2 linked regions of the Drosophila melanogaster genome follow. The protein of the gene in region 1 purifies or fractionates together with the protein of each later gene. This does not show direct contact. Each region holds a gene or a part of one and is shown on either strand. Other genes may lie near its edges.

What was found.
Region 2: the proteins of Dek (region 1) and His3.3B purify together in Drosophila melanogaster (affinity purification with western blotting, with the first as the bait; one study listed by BioGRID). This does not show direct contact.

The regions. Positions count from the first base shown.
Region 1 is NT_033778.4:16,854,691-16,863,862, forward strand, and holds Dek (Dek), read left to right. Parts: upstream 1-1,951; 5' UTR 1,952-2,094; coding exon 2,095-2,362; intron 2,363-2,722; exon of another isoform or gene 2,723-2,888; intron 2,889-2,942; coding exon 2,943-3,424; intron 3,425-3,490; coding exon 3,491-3,911; intron 3,912-3,973; coding exon 3,974-4,074; intron 4,075-4,136; coding exon 4,137-4,310; intron 4,311-4,370; coding exon 4,371-4,559; intron 4,560-4,622; coding exon 4,623-4,707; intron 4,708-4,762; coding exon 4,763-4,884; coding exon of another isoform or gene 4,885-4,899; intron 4,900-4,942; coding exon 4,943-5,095; intron 5,096-5,159; coding exon 5,160-5,174; 3' UTR 5,175-5,580; downstream 5,581-9,172. Other genes in the region: Fen1 (flap endonuclease 1), read right to left, coding at 1-504, 567-648.
Region 2 is NC_004354.4:9,152,023-9,158,220, reverse strand, and holds His3.3B (histone H3.3B), read left to right. Parts: upstream 1-1,551; 5' UTR 1,552-1,641; intron 1,642-2,607; exon of another isoform or gene 2,608-2,817; intron 2,818-3,208; exon of another isoform or gene 3,209-3,436; intron 3,437-3,535; 5' UTR 3,536-3,559; coding exon 3,560-3,841; intron 3,842-3,980; coding exon 3,981-4,109; 3' UTR 4,110-5,698; downstream 5,699-6,198. Other genes in the region: Ost48 (oligosaccharyltransferase 48kD subunit), read left to right, coding at 6-1,213.

The sequences.
Region 1 (9,172 bases):
AGGTAAGGTATCTCAACAGTTTTGTAGATCCGAATGTGAGGGCATCCATATCCTCCGTGGCGGTGGCATAAACCTTTCCAGCTTTCACCAGAGCGGCACACTGGGCCTCCGCTTCGCACGGTGCATCAACATAGGGCACACCCATTAGTGTGAGCAGTTCCTTGGCCTCTTTGGCGTGCTCCTTCGTTACCCGGACCAATCGGCGATTAAACTTTTCGATACCGGCATCATCTCCCGCATCGGTGGCCGCCTTCAGTGCCTTCTCCGCTTCCTCCCGCCGCTCGGCGCGCTTCGCCAGCTCACCGGACTTGAGATCTGGTGGCTTTCCGTCGAAGACATATACCGGCTTGATTCCGTTGTCCAGCAATCGGATGGTGCGGTAGAACATGCCCATTAAGTGGGACGTGGGATCACCATTTACGGTGGCCAACTGGGCGCCTTCGGAGCGCACGGCGATGAGGAACTGGTACAGGCACATACTAGCATCGATTGCTACCTTGCGACCTTTGAAATGTGAGCATACTATTAAAGTTTTGTTTATATTTAGCAAATAGAACCGGACTCACCGAAAAAATGCTTCATCTCACTTTCGCGAATCGCCTGTGGCGCCAGATCGGCAATGAGCTTAGATAAGCCCAAAATTCCCATGGCGATTTTATTTTAACTTAACACTTGTAATTAATTAAATATATGATTATATTAAGTATAGCCAGGGGTTTATCAAATTGTTTTGTTTGTGAAAACACGCCGCGCGCTTTTTTGCCAACAAGAGTGACCGCCTTTTCAATACATAAATACCAGAACGTCAAAAAATTTTTTATTCGCTAAATTGTTAGTTTTTACATATTTATTTCATTTTCTTTCGAATATTTTTATGAACGTATATAAATATTAACATTTAGATCAGCGTGACTGATGAATTAAAATATGACTACCGGTCTGCAAAATATTCCAAAATTAGATGGTTTTGGTTAACAAATCATTTAAAAAGCAAGTGTCTCCTTCAAATATGTTTTTTATGCATATATATATATAATTTAGTCCGATTCATTAAAAAGCAAAATATTTCAGAAATATATAGGACTGGTTAATACCAGTCATTTTGTTTAAAAAGAAAGTATTTCTTTCGACTATTATAATATACGTATATAAATATTTTTTTATTTAGATCAGTGTTACTAATACATTAGAATAATATTATCGTTAATCAAAATATACCAGAATTAAATAGTTTTCTTTTGAATATTTTTATTGGGGTATATAAATATTGTATTCAGATCAGACTAACATATGAATTATAATATAATTACAGGTAAGCAATGTGGTTAGCTTAGGATAATAGCGATAGAGTTGACTGGACACTATCAAGAAAGAATTTAAATGCATTTTAAAATAAAGAATCATAAAATGGTATTAACAACTGAACATGTATACCAACTTAATTCCCTTGTAAAAAGCCCGCCAAAAGTGAGCAACGAAAAGGGCACCCATTATTTTGCCGGGTATTTTTTAGTGCTTGTCGGCTGCAATACTATCGATTGTGACACCTCTTCTAGTGAGCAGATTGAATGTGTGTCGGCTGACGGAAAAACAGAAAAGCCATTAGAAATATGGTATGTAAAAAGGTGAAAAATGTGGGAAAAAGCGCCGGAAAGTGTGTGCCAGCGAGGTGAAATGAAAACGGCGGGATTGCTAACGTATTTTGTGTGTAAATAGAGCGCAACAAATTATCCGCGAGGCTAACTGCCCGACTATCGGTTCTCTCCCGCCGTTCGGTTGTGTGTATAAACATGGCGTCGTTGTGGCTCGAGATGCCGATGCGAGTGGGTGCGAGCGGGATGACTAGTGTGTGTGTGTGCGCCTCATAGATTTGCAATGTTGTTTTTTCTATCGCCTCTCTCATTTCTTGCTCCCTCTCTCACTCGCTTGCTCGCTCGGCGAAGAAGACACGCATACACAAACTCGCAATCGCCGAAGACCTAACTCACACTCAAATTGCGATTCGATTAAAAAAGAAATAGGCGCACCGAAACCCATCGTATTGGCCGCCAAAAAATTAGCAAGTGTAATCCAATTCTGACTTTGTATCTTTCCATGCCATCGCCGCACGAAAAGGATGCTAACAAAGCGGCAGAAACGGCAGCCAAAGAAAATGCCGCCGATAAGGTAAGCGATGTGGAAAATGCATCGGTTACTGCGGGGGTGGCGAAAGCCGTGGGGGCACAGCCGGAAAGGGGCTCCAAAGATGCAGCCGAATCCCCCGCCGCTGTCGACGCCTCTGCCTCTGCCGCCACTGATGACGTCGCTGATAAAAAAGCCAAAGGAGACTCAACGGCTGTTTCAAATACCGAATCGGATGCAGGTAAATAAAAAATTAAAAGGCAAAGCCAGGCGAACACACAATCTAACTAACTGTGTGTGTGAAGAACGAGAGAGAAAAACAAAAATCAAAGTGAATTTACCGCGCATTTTAAAAAACGCGCCGAACTATTTCGCTCTCTCTTCGGGAAAGTTCTTTTCCTCTCTCGTCCTCTTGTTCGCTTTGGTCTACTTATTGGGAGAGTTCCGATGTGGCGCTGCGGTCTAAAGCGTCGCTCCTTGTGTCTCTCTTGTTTACCGCGCTATGCTGATGTTGGCATGTGGTTCGATCCCCCTCCGTGTCGATGTTTACAAAACCATTATTAGAGTTTGATGATTGAGTTCTCTTAACTTTCCTTCCTCCTTCCTTCCTTGGCTTTTGTTCATGCTAAATCCTTTAAATGGGTTCTGCGTAGTTTAATGCCGAGGTACAGCAAAACTTCAATATTCATGTTCCCTTGCGCTCCCAAACGAAATTAGCATTGGACGTCCCAAGGTTGAAGACATTTTATTATTTTAACATCTTTTTTATTTTATTACATTTGAACTCTTACAAATAATAATAATTACAATTAATATTATAGCTGCAGCGGACAAAAAGGAGAAATCCCCCTCGCCGGTAATAAAGAAGTCCAACAATAAGGATGCTAAAAAGGAGGACAACTCCGAAAAGGACGAGGAGAACTCGGAAGACGGCGATGAGCCAGAAGATGAGGCTGATGAGAAAGCTAGCGATGAAGAGAGCGAGAAGAAGAAACCGAAATTAGATGCAGAGGACAAGATAAAGGATGCCACTGATGAGTCCAAGCCAAAATCGGGAGCCGATAAGCCCAAGAAACCTGAGCCCAAGGCCAAGAATGGCAAGGTGGCTAAGGAGGAGGACGACGACGAAGAGGACGAGGATGATGAGGATGCCGAAGATGACGATGGAGACGAGAACGATGGCCTGGACAAGAACAACGAGGTGGCCGAGGATGATGAGAATGTCGTCGCTCTCGCCGAGATTGATCGCATTAATGAGAATATCAACAAGACTCGTGTAGATGGTCTGCAAACATTGCATGCAGTAAGTTAGCTGAGAAACATTTTTGCCAACAACTTGTCAAAAACTAATTTCACACCTCATTTATAGATCTGCTTTGGCGCCCAAGGCAAGAACAATGTGGTCAAGAAGAACTTGCGATCCTTTGCCGGTTTCGAGTTTGCCAAGGATTCAGCGGAGTACAACAAAAAGCTGGAGGCCATCAAAAAGGTGGATAATAAGGGCCTGCGCAGCATCTGCGAGATCCTTACCCTCGATCGCAAGGGCAGCAAGAACGAGACTGTCCTTCGAGTGCTCAAATTCCTAATGGAACCGGACGAGTCGCTTTGCTTGGAGCAGGGTGATGAGGAGGAGGAGGAAGATGCCGAGGACGAGGATCTGGATGAAGATGAGGAGGACCCGCCCAGTGAAGAGGACAAGAAGCGCAAGAGCGGAAAGTCTAGCGGCGGCGCTGGCAGAGGCTCTGCACGCAATTCCACCGGACGTCCAAGGCGCGCGACGGCAGGAAAGAGTATGCTCATCTAAATCAAAAGTATTGTATATATCTAAACATGTTTACGTTTTAAATTTCAGAAATGTCCGCCTATGTAGATTTCTCCAGCTCTGACGATAGCGAGCAGAAAGTTGCAGTTCCCAAAAGGAGACGAAATGATGACTCCGAGTCGGGCTCAGATGTAAGTATCCTTCGCCCAGAAACCATGCGCACAATTTGGCTCATTTGTCGTTTTGCTTATAGTACAATCCTTCTGCCAATTCCGACTCTGACGGTGGTCGTGGTGGTGGTGCTGGTGCAGCAGGTCGCAAAGTCCCAAGCCGCGGTGGACGCGGTCGTCCTGCGCGCAAAAGTCGCAGAAGAAACTCTGATTCCGAGGAAGAAGAGGAATCGGAAGTTTCCGATGCCGATAGTGATGTATGTATTATAAACGTATGACCAAGTGACCTATATAAAAAAAAATAACTAAATCCCCAGGTCCCAAAACGTAAACGTGGTTCCGTGGGTAAACGTGGACGACCGGCAGCTCCTGCGTCAGCTGGACGAAGGGGTAGAGGACGAGGTGCAGCTTCCCGCAAGCGTAAAGATTCAGATAGCGAAGATGAGGAGGTATCCGAGGATGAAGAGGAGGAGGATGTCTCCGATTTTGCCAGCGATCAAAGCGAAGTATGTAAATTTAATTTAATATCGAGCATTTGGTGTTTTATCAAGTATATGCCAATTTTTCAGGAGGAACGTCCCAAAAAGAGCAAGAAGCCCATTACGCCTGCGAAAAATAGCAAAGCTAACAACAAGTCAAAACCAGCTGGAAAGGGTATGTTAAAAGTAATATGAAAACCGTATGAAATAACAATTAATGTAATCCGCAGCCGATAGTCGATCGAAAAAATCAAAGAAGGAATCGTCCGAGGAAGATGATGATGTCGATGACAAAGATGAATCCGACGAGGATGAGCCACTAACCAAAAAGGGCAAACAGGCATTCCCAACGGTTGGTAGCCAGTAATCGCAATCGTAATGTGTTATCCTCATCGAACGTCTATTTGCAGGATGAACAAATACGCGGATATGTCAAAGAGATTCTGGATAAAGCCAATCTTGAGGAGATTACGATGAAAACCGTGTGCAAACAAGTTTATGCAAAATATCCAGACTTTGACCTAACAGACAAGAAAGACTTCATCAAGGCGACAGTGAAAGCGGTAAGTTACAAGCATATTTATAATTTCTGTTTTACTGAAACTCAATTTATTTCCCAATTCTTAGTTAATTGCGACATAAAACGACGCGTTGACAAGTCCACTTTAAAGTCGAAGAAGGGTCCAGGCTCTGTACACATACAACACAAAACAGGCGATAGCAAAGTCAGGACGTTGTACGCCGATGCAGAAAGAAGTTGGGCATGGTTCGCGAAATGTAACTCCAAGTAGTTGTCTCCTATAAGTATATGATTTGTACTCCTATCCTAAAAGCTATCTGCAGTTCACCTTAATCCTAACGTCAGCGGCAGTCGACTATCCATTCTTATATATATTCATCTGTATATATAACTTTTTATTTGTCCAACCGTGCGCACGCATGCACATCATTTTCTATTTTCCTGAAAGTATGTGCAAACGACAGCTCTGCGAAGTGTGTAAATTAAGCAAAGAGAAACTTGTAAAAATCCGATAAAAAAGAAACACCTAAACTGTAGTGCATTTTGATTTGACGTTTAACAAGAAAAGATGTATTTAACCTTAAGGCACAAGAAATAATAAACAAAAAGCAAAATTAAAAATTTGTAAAAGCGTGAAATATTGAAATTTCACACACTGGCAGCAGTACAAAAACAAACGAAAGTGGAAAACCATTTTAAATTTACACGATTACAAAAAGTTTTTGGCTAATGTAATAAAAGAATGCATTATTTGGGCGAGTAATTTTAAGGCACACTTGAGCGGAGCTCCTGATACAAATGTTTAACTGCTGTTCCCAAAATATATCCTTGAAACCCATTTTGATTTTGATGTCTCTATCGCATCCCAACTCCTGCTGTTCACCACAAATGCTCGGGCCCAGTGTGATTGAAGATAGGAAGGTTTCTCGGCTTATTAACTAGAGACAAGCTCACAACAAATTGTGAGTAAAAAATAAACAAACAGAAGATTGAATGTGGAATGAGGAAGGGAATAAAGTTAAATATTATAAATATTAGATATTTACAAGGTAATAATAGATGTATGTTAATTTTAAAAGAGCAAATGAATAGAAAAAACCGAATATTTAAACGTTTAATTGCCAGCAAGAGAAAAGTAAAAGAACAAAATCACAGTCGCATCTCAATGGAAGTTTTCCCGTAGTAAACTCGTAAATGAATATCAAAAACAACACTAATAAAGCTCCACTAAATTAGTTTAGTCCCAGAAATTGGCAACTAAGCTATATACTCTTGTGCATTCTGTTCTGTTTTAATTTCAAATGTTCGCTGAAAAATGCTAAAAGGAATGCAGTGTATCAGTAATAAAGTGCTAAAAATTAAGAGAAACCTTATCGATTTTCTAAATGGGTTGGAATTTCTATAGTGGATAAAAATCCCAGTGGCGGAACAAATCTCTTTTTTCTAAAAAAAAAAATGTTCTTTTTTAAATAGTCCATATTAATTCTGACTTAATTTGAAGGAAAAAAATGCTTTATTTTGGGTTGTAGCATGGGAAAAGTTTATTTCGAATTTAAAAATGTTCAATTGGGACATTTTCTACAATTGAATTTAACAATTATCTAAACGATTTAAGAAAATAATTAAACTAATTTCTGTCGGGGATTTACCGGGTGGTAATTGAAAGCTGTCGAGTGGACAAAACGCTGAAACATACAGATAGTCAGTTATGATTCAGATATAATATATATATTTATATATTGTCAAAAATGGTTAATATATGTTTATAAAAAAACAATGTAAATATCAATTTCGGGACAAAAATACATATATCAATGAGAAGTGTGGATAATACGGGAGAAGGAATCAACTTTTCTCTGAATTGTTCCTGCAAATAGATCAAAGCACGTAATTTAAATGAAACGAATGGAAATGTATGCAGAAATGTAAATTTCAAAAATATCATTTGATTGCAAAATAAACGGCTTGACATTGGACCCAAAAGAAATGCTCAACGAAATGGGTTATTGAACGTTCTACATTTAATATTTGGTTGGGTCATACTTACCTTGGTCGATATAAGATACGCAGGATGATATCCTTGAAAACCTTTGCTAGAATGAAAAAAGAAAATCGACTTCCCAAAAACATTGAAAATTGGGTTCTTCTCTTTCAAACTGCCATATTATTCGAAAAATTTCCTAATTCTAGACCTGAATCGCTCTTATTATACGAAATATATTCAATATATTAAAGTACACAATATGGAATAGTATAAATTAGAGATTGGCTTGGGAGCCAATGTAAACCGCTTATAGAGCAAGCAAATGATACCTTTAAACGATATTTTACAAATATGTATACAGCACAGAATTTATCAATAGGGAGCACTGTTCGGGAAATCAAATATCGTTCGTTTTGCTAGGCAATTATTGAGAAATACGTATATAAATATATGCATATATATAGTCAATTGTCAAGGAATAGTATGTAGTATAAAGAATATTCAGGATAATCAGTTATGGATATAATATATGTGCAGTTTGATATTAAAATTGTACTCCAATGTGGTTCCAAGCATACCCAATAATGTGGCAATCAATCGACCATCCCTGGGAAAAGTCAAAAGCCCGTCCCGATCCCCAAGATCTCTTCCACGAGCAAGAACGACCAGAACCTCTGAAAATACGCTCAATAAACGATTTTCATATGTGGCATAAACAATCAGCTGGATAAATAAATCAAGAGCGATACAGTCGAGCCCCGACTATCTGATACCCGTTACTATTCATTAAAATTTTGTTTTAGGATTGGTTTAGTAACGGGTATAAATGTAATTAATAGAAACGCAATAGGACACACAGCACCGAAATGCTCCGTGCTGGTAATATATGTATGTGAATATATATTATATGGTATATTAAATGTTTATTCAATGCTTTGCCGGCCGGCCGCAGGACGGAGTTCAGGATTTGGATGGTAGTCCCGAACTGATCCCGCGTGGCCGAACAACGGTTACAATATGGTTGATCTGCTGTTGCAACAATCAGATATTTGGGGAGACGTAAAACTTAGATTATATATCGGTATTAAGACTAAATTATGGTAGACCTACATTCATTGGGTAAGTTTCATTGTTTCAATTGCAATATGTTTAATAGACAGTAATAACAACACACAATCTTACCAAGTTTGACACTTTTACAATATATGTATGGTTCGTATTTCATCGTGTTTTTTTTTGTTTTCGTTATTTGTTATAGTGTGAAAAAGTTTTGGGGTTTGATTTCGTATTTCTGCTATTAACTGGTCTGAAGAGCGTCCTCTGAAAATAACATACTTTATGTTTGCATTTGGTGAAATAGATATTAAAACAAGCATGATTATCCTGCGCGTTCGTTTAAAGGTAAATATTGCAAGCGTATTCAAACCAGGTTTATAATTTAAAAAAATATACAATTATAGAGCAGGAAATAATTTTAAACTCAGTTCAGTTTCACCTTAGTGCTACAAAAATGATTTCATAGATTCTCCAGAACTGAAAGATGAAAATATTGTTATGCAAGATGTTAAATATCAATTAAGGAAGATAACCTTTTGTACCTGGCCCTCACTTGAATCAAATTTAATAAAAAGGTTCGATCAAATCTTTTAAATCTTACCAGATCAGCAGACATATGTATATATGATCAAGTGTAAATGTCGATCATATATAGTTCAAATGGCTTCTAGTACAACTAAGCTAAGCTAAGTACGTGAAAATGAGTTCGTGTATATAAAACGTTCGATTTGTTTATTGCTACCATTAAAGTTGAGAATTTTAACAAAGGGTGTCTTTAATTACTGAACGCCCATTGCAGATTGGCTGCCTGAATTGACGGTGAAAGAACCTATATATGCGATGTATATATATATATATATATATATGACTATATATATGCAGATGTGTATAAAAATGAACAAAACACCCAAAACGGATTCAATTAGCGTCTCTTAGTATGTCTGTGCAAGTGGTGATCATGAACAGCAAGAGCATTATGTTTCAATCGGTCGGAATTATGTATAATTATTAGGTAAAAGTAGACTTAGGATCTCGGGATAATCTCTTACAAGCTATGGTGAAATTATATGCAGTATCCAA
Region 2 (6,198 bases), on another chromosome or scaffold:
TACAGATCGCGGATTTAAGCTCACCTACAAACTGGCGGATGACTCCAGCCTGCTGCTGTCCAAATACGGTGAATATCTGTACAAGAACGTCATCATATTCGCACCAAGTGTCGAGGAATTCGGCGGCGATGTGAGCGTGGAGCGTTTGGCCCAGTTCGTCGACGATGGCGGCAATGTTCTGGTGGCGGGCAGCGAGAAATCCGGCGACGCGCTAAGGGAATTCGCCTCCGAGTGCGGCTTCGAGCTGGACGAGGAGAATGCGGCGGTCATTGACCATCTGCACTACGATGTTAGCGATGCTGGCGAGCACACAACCATCCTGACCTCCGCCAAGAATCTTATACAGGCCGACACCATTGTGGGCAAGGCCAACAGGCAGGCGGATGCCGCACCGCTGCTCTATCGCGGTACAGGACTGATTGCCGACAAGGAGAACCCGCTGGTACTCAAGCTGCTGACCGCCGAGAGCACCGCCTATAGCTACAATCCCGAGGCAAGTGTCTCCGACTATCCGCATGCCGTTGGCCGAGGCACGCTGCTAATCGCCGCCCTGCAGGCGAGGAACAATGCCCGCGTAGTGTTCTCCGGCTCGCTGCTCTTCTTCTCTGACGAGAGCTTCACAACGGCCGTGCAGTACGCACAGAGCGGTGTGTTCCACAAGCTGGCCGGTAATCGCGACGTGGCCGAGTCCATTAGCAAGTGGGTATTTGGAGAGACTGGCCGCTTGCGCGTGGCATCCGTGCAACATCACAAGGAGGGCGAGCTGCTGCCACCGGATCAGGCGTACACCATCACCGATCCGGTCGTCTACACCATCGGCATCGAGGAGCTGGTGCAGGGCGAGTGGCGCGCCTTTAAGGCCAGCGACATTCAACTGGAGTTCGTGCGCATCGATCCCTTCGTCCGCACCTATCTGAAGCAAACGAACACGGGCGCCTACCAGGCCAAATTCAAGATACCCGACGTCTACGGCGTTTATCAGTTCAAGGTGGACTACAATCGCGTGGGCTACACGCATCTGTACAGCACCACCCAGGTGTCGGTGCGTCCGCTGGAGCACACACAGTACGAGCGCTTTATCCCGAGCGCATTCCCCTACTACACCAGCGCCTTCTCAATGATGATCGGCGTGTTTGTCTTCTCATTCGTGTTCCTTCACTTCAAGGATGAGCCCGTGGGCAGGGCCGCCAAGGAGGACAAGAAGTCGCAGTAGTATGCACGTTCGTTCAACTCAAATGTAACACACAATGCACTAAAATAAAGTTCTCTGCAGAGAGAAACCCACAATCCATAAAAGAACTTGGCTTTTTTTTTGCTTAATGAAGCTTATATTTCATTAAAATTAGCAGAGTCCAACCCATTAAAACATATTCATTTTTAATCTTAGGTTGGAGTTAAAAAAATTTTAAAAAGTTATAAAAATGTAATTAGCAAAGAACAGAACCAAACTATTTGGCGGGCATGGTCTTGTCAGACAATCGAGTGTAATCGAATACAATCGAAGTAGGCCTTCGCCTACTAGGCTACCATCTCTAGATCTCAACGAAACGAAATCATTGTGAAAATTTCTCTCGTCCGAATTTGTTCGTCTCGTGTTGAAAGTGACAAATTGTGAAGAATAACTTTATTCCGTGTTTAACGGTGAGTTTTTTTTTATTGCTAAATACTTATAATACTAAGTGTGGTTCTTAAAACGCACGTGCTTGTGGCCGCTGAATATGTGCGTGTGTGCACTGTTTTCCAAATTTTTTTTTCGTTGTGAATCGCCTGAGTTTATGTTTTGCCGTTTTTGGGGCTCCGCCGGCCGTCCAGCGGAGCCCTATTTTTCACCGCACACACACAGGCGCATTCTCGCTGGTGGATACATACACAAATACACGAAGATGTGAGAGGTCTCGTATTCGCACGACTGTTGGTTGCATTGTTGTTTTAGTTGTAATGGTGAGGTGCGCTGCTTTTTTTTTTTTTCCAAAATGGCCGCCAAGCAGGAGAATAGCAAGAAATAAAAAAGTTGCAGTCGTTGATGAAATTGGCAAAAAGAAAATTAAAAAAATAAATAAAAACGATTTGCCAATGTGCGAAAACTGGCGCCAAAAAGTATGAGTAATCGTATTTATGCTGGTTGGCATAAACATATAAAAGTTATTTATTTATTTCTTAAGTGGCACGCGCGTTGATGTGTGTGTATACTAAACACGCACATTGGTTAACAAATGCAAATGTGCATGGCTGCGCTTGTCATGCGCAGTGTGTGCCATCTCTCTTTCCCACCGCCAGCTTTTCCCGTATGTTATTGCATAATTGCTTTTTATTTTCTTTTTCCTTTGGCATTCTCTTTTGTGAGGATGTGCAGCTGTCACATCTACACGCACACACATGCTGTTTAGCGGAGAAACGACGCAATTAACTGCTGGCACACCTTTCTTCTCTTTCTAACGCGAACGTGCCCCTATAGGCATCTCCCTTCGACTTGCCGCCTTTCAATGCGCGCCAAGTTTTTACCGCTTGATTTTCCTTCCTTTTGTTTATGTTTACTCTTTTGGCGCTACCAGTCGAAGAATTTTTTTCGTTTTCTTTGGCTTCCTTTTATTTGATATTTTCCTCTTGCCTGCACAAGTAATTATAAATTGAAAACTACAACTCATTACTTCAGCGTGATTGATTCCGCATAAAGCGCGAAAAAAACTCAAGAGGCTGTACATAAAAAGAAGGGGAACACAAAAAACGGCGACTCACGATGTTTGCCCGCGAAGAAAAGAAATGAGATTTTCAAGTGGTCCTCCATCGTGGAACAACTACACAGCGAGAAAAGCAGATGTAATATATCTATACCACCAATTGAGAATTAGATGGTATTCCTATTGCTATTTAGAACGGATAAATTAGGGTTTTTTTATGGACCACCTTTATGAATTATCAGAAATGTTTCTTAAGTTTTTTTAATTATAAGTAATGTGAAAACTTTAGAATCATCTTAGCTAAGCTTCATTTGCACACCAATATAAATATGGATCACACTATTATTTTTCTGAGTGTTTTGCTGCCGAGGCACGATTTATTCCTTTGCCACTGAAGTGGAAGTTTCTCGAGTGCCTCGTTCCCAGAAGATGGGAAAATATTTGAAATGGGGGGCAAGAAGGAAAAGCAGGCAGCTGCCTCAAAAAAATTTCACCTTCAACCCTCGTTATCGTTATGACCACGAACCAAAGTTCCTCGTCAGTTGGCCGCCAGCGCTTCGGCGCTGTGCATCGGTCCAAACTTTGGCTCCCAGCGATATCCATCCGTGTATATCCGTCAAGAGTCCACGACACAGCACAATCGTATCCTGGCCAATTGCATCGTGCACTGCGCCTGTGCTGGACGAATAGTTTAGAGTTTGTGCCCAGTTCATCGAGTTGTCTTTCTCATCTGGCGAGGATCAGCGTGTTTATTTTGGGTACCAACCAAACAATGATTGTAGAAGTGTTTATTTAATCTGTGTCAATCTGGAACGCGCAAAATCTAACATTTGCATTTCCCATTCTCTTAATTGCAGTTTAAAAAAAAAAGCTAAGAAAACATGGCTCGTACTAAGCAGACTGCCCGTAAGTCGACCGGAGGAAAGGCTCCTCGTAAGCAGCTAGCCACCAAGGCTGCCCGTAAATCGGCGCCATCCACCGGCGGAGTGAAGAAGCCCCATCGTTATCGTCCCGGAACTGTGGCTCTTCGTGAGATCCGTCGTTACCAGAAGTCGACCGAGTTGCTCATCCGCAAGCTGCCCTTCCAGCGTCTGGTTCGTGAAATCGCTCAGGATTTCAAGACCGATCTGCGTTTCCAGTCGGCTGCCATCGGTGCCTTGCAGGTGAGAATTATGCTCCAAAGAATCAGAGTGGCTTAACTTAACTAAAAATGACAGGATTCATGGGATTATGAAGGGGGGGCTACTAATATCTAAAAGGAACTTGGTTATCCAACTCATATGAATTTCTCTTGACTTACAGGAAGCATCTGAGGCGTACCTGGTGGGTCTCTTCGAGGACACCAACTTGTGCGCTATCCACGCCAAGCGCGTGACAATCATGCCTAAGGACATCCAGTTGGCGCGCCGCATCCGTGGCGAGCGTGCTTAAGGTGGATCAGCAGGAACGCCAGATTCGATCACTGTCGTCCATTCCCGAACAGTAGACCATTCACGTACCGTTGTAGGAGAGGTGCACGCCAAGGAGCTATACCAGCGACACATTGATCCAATCTATCATTCATATTTACATGTATACATTTATCATCCTTTTGTTGTTCAATCGAATCGTCAGCATGACGTTGTCGATAAGAAAAACACCACACACAAAACAACACACAACATTACTGTAATGCTTAAAAATTATTTTATAACTCTTATTATTACTATTATCAATTAGTTTTTAAGTTTTTTTTCTCGCCTGTGCGTCGTCGGTGTCACCGTGTACGTTGCGCCGTGCTCCTTCTTCTCCAAATCCGGGTCCACCTCTTCGTTTTGGAAGGAGGGAATACCACCGGGCGGCCGTTGTCGCCTGTCCGCCTGCAACATCCGCCACCAACCACTCCAACAACTGTCCAGCTGGCGGGCTTCGGTTTCCAGGTAATCCGTGATCTTTAAGGCGCCTGCCTCGCCTTTATCGCTTCGATCGAGGAGAGGTTCACCATCTGGCTGCCGGGATGTGCGGAGCCTGGAGATCGGGGCCAATCTAACGTCGGCTGGACGTGGCAAGGCGGACAGACGGTTGCGGACCGCCTGGCGGTGATTCCCGGATCTCTGGATGGGCGGCGAGGGCATGGCCGTCTGGCGATGCCACTGACGGCACGCGGCTTTTATGAAGATAATATCCATATATAACACCGAAGACCGAATCGAGTACACTTAACTTTACACTTACGTATATGCATATATATACATAAATACATATATATATAAATATATATATATATATAAATATAAATATAAACCTATGCGGAAGGAAAAGAACTAGATATTAATACTCTTTCTTCTGTTCACTTTTCGTTACTGCAAATCATAATCAGAGCATTATATATATATATATATAGAAGTTATATATATATATATACACATAACGAAGGGATGGGCGTGACAGAGTTAGTTGATTAAATAAGATTTTAGATTTACATGCATTTTATACGTTTAGGCGGACGATAGAAGATGATTCTTCTTCGGGAGATGAAAAAAAGATATAAAGATGATTCAGCAATCAGATTAACTTACACATCTATAGATTTGGAAGAGCATCGAATAAAAATAACCAAGACAGAAATCACATAACAATACAAAATAAAAGCAAAAGCGCCGAGCAGAGCATTGAATATTTCCCAATATTTATATGTAGTTTGAAACACATGCAAAATAATCAATTGTAAACGCCCATAAAACATGCATATATATATATATAAATATACATATAGCTGTAAATTGGTGTCGATAACTAGTTTCACATTGAACATTTAAACAAATCGGACTAAATATGTGTCTATTCGTATCGTCGTAGCTTACAAGAACCAATATGAAAACAGAAAACAAAAAACGAATCCCCCACAAAACACAAAAACAATTTACAACAACAAATCAGTGACAGCAACAGCAAAAATAACTGGAAACATCAGCAAAAAAAAAAAAGAAAATAAAAAATAAACGGTTTTTTCTATAGAAGAAACCAAAAAAACCCAACACCAACGAATTGTATTTTCTGCGAAAGCGAGACGGGAATAGTGTGTACGAGCGGGCGGGATAGGTGGCGATGGTACAGTTGACTCCAAAAATCGAAACCAAACGTCATTTGCTTTGTTTACGTGTGTTAATCTCGGTGCGTGCGTGTGTATGTGTGTTACTCTTGCTCGTTTCTGTGTGTGCAAGTTTGGCTGGCTGCAGCTGTATGTGTGTGGGTGGCTTTGGCGCTGCCCCCTTTTTTTTGTTTGTCTTTGATTTGCGTTTTCAAGGCTGCTATTAACTGGCGCCACCTAGCGGTGGTTCTGTGCCACAGGCGCCCAATAAGTGTTAATAAACCCCTTTGTTCGTAAGCTAAGACGCCCAATAGGGGTTAAGGGCTTATCTTTGTAATTAAATGTTGATATTTATAATAATGTACATTGAAGCAATAATTTATTTAATTTAAGTTACCAATGTTTTCCATCTTTTTGTCAGTGTAAATATCGTTATAACTCAAGCATACC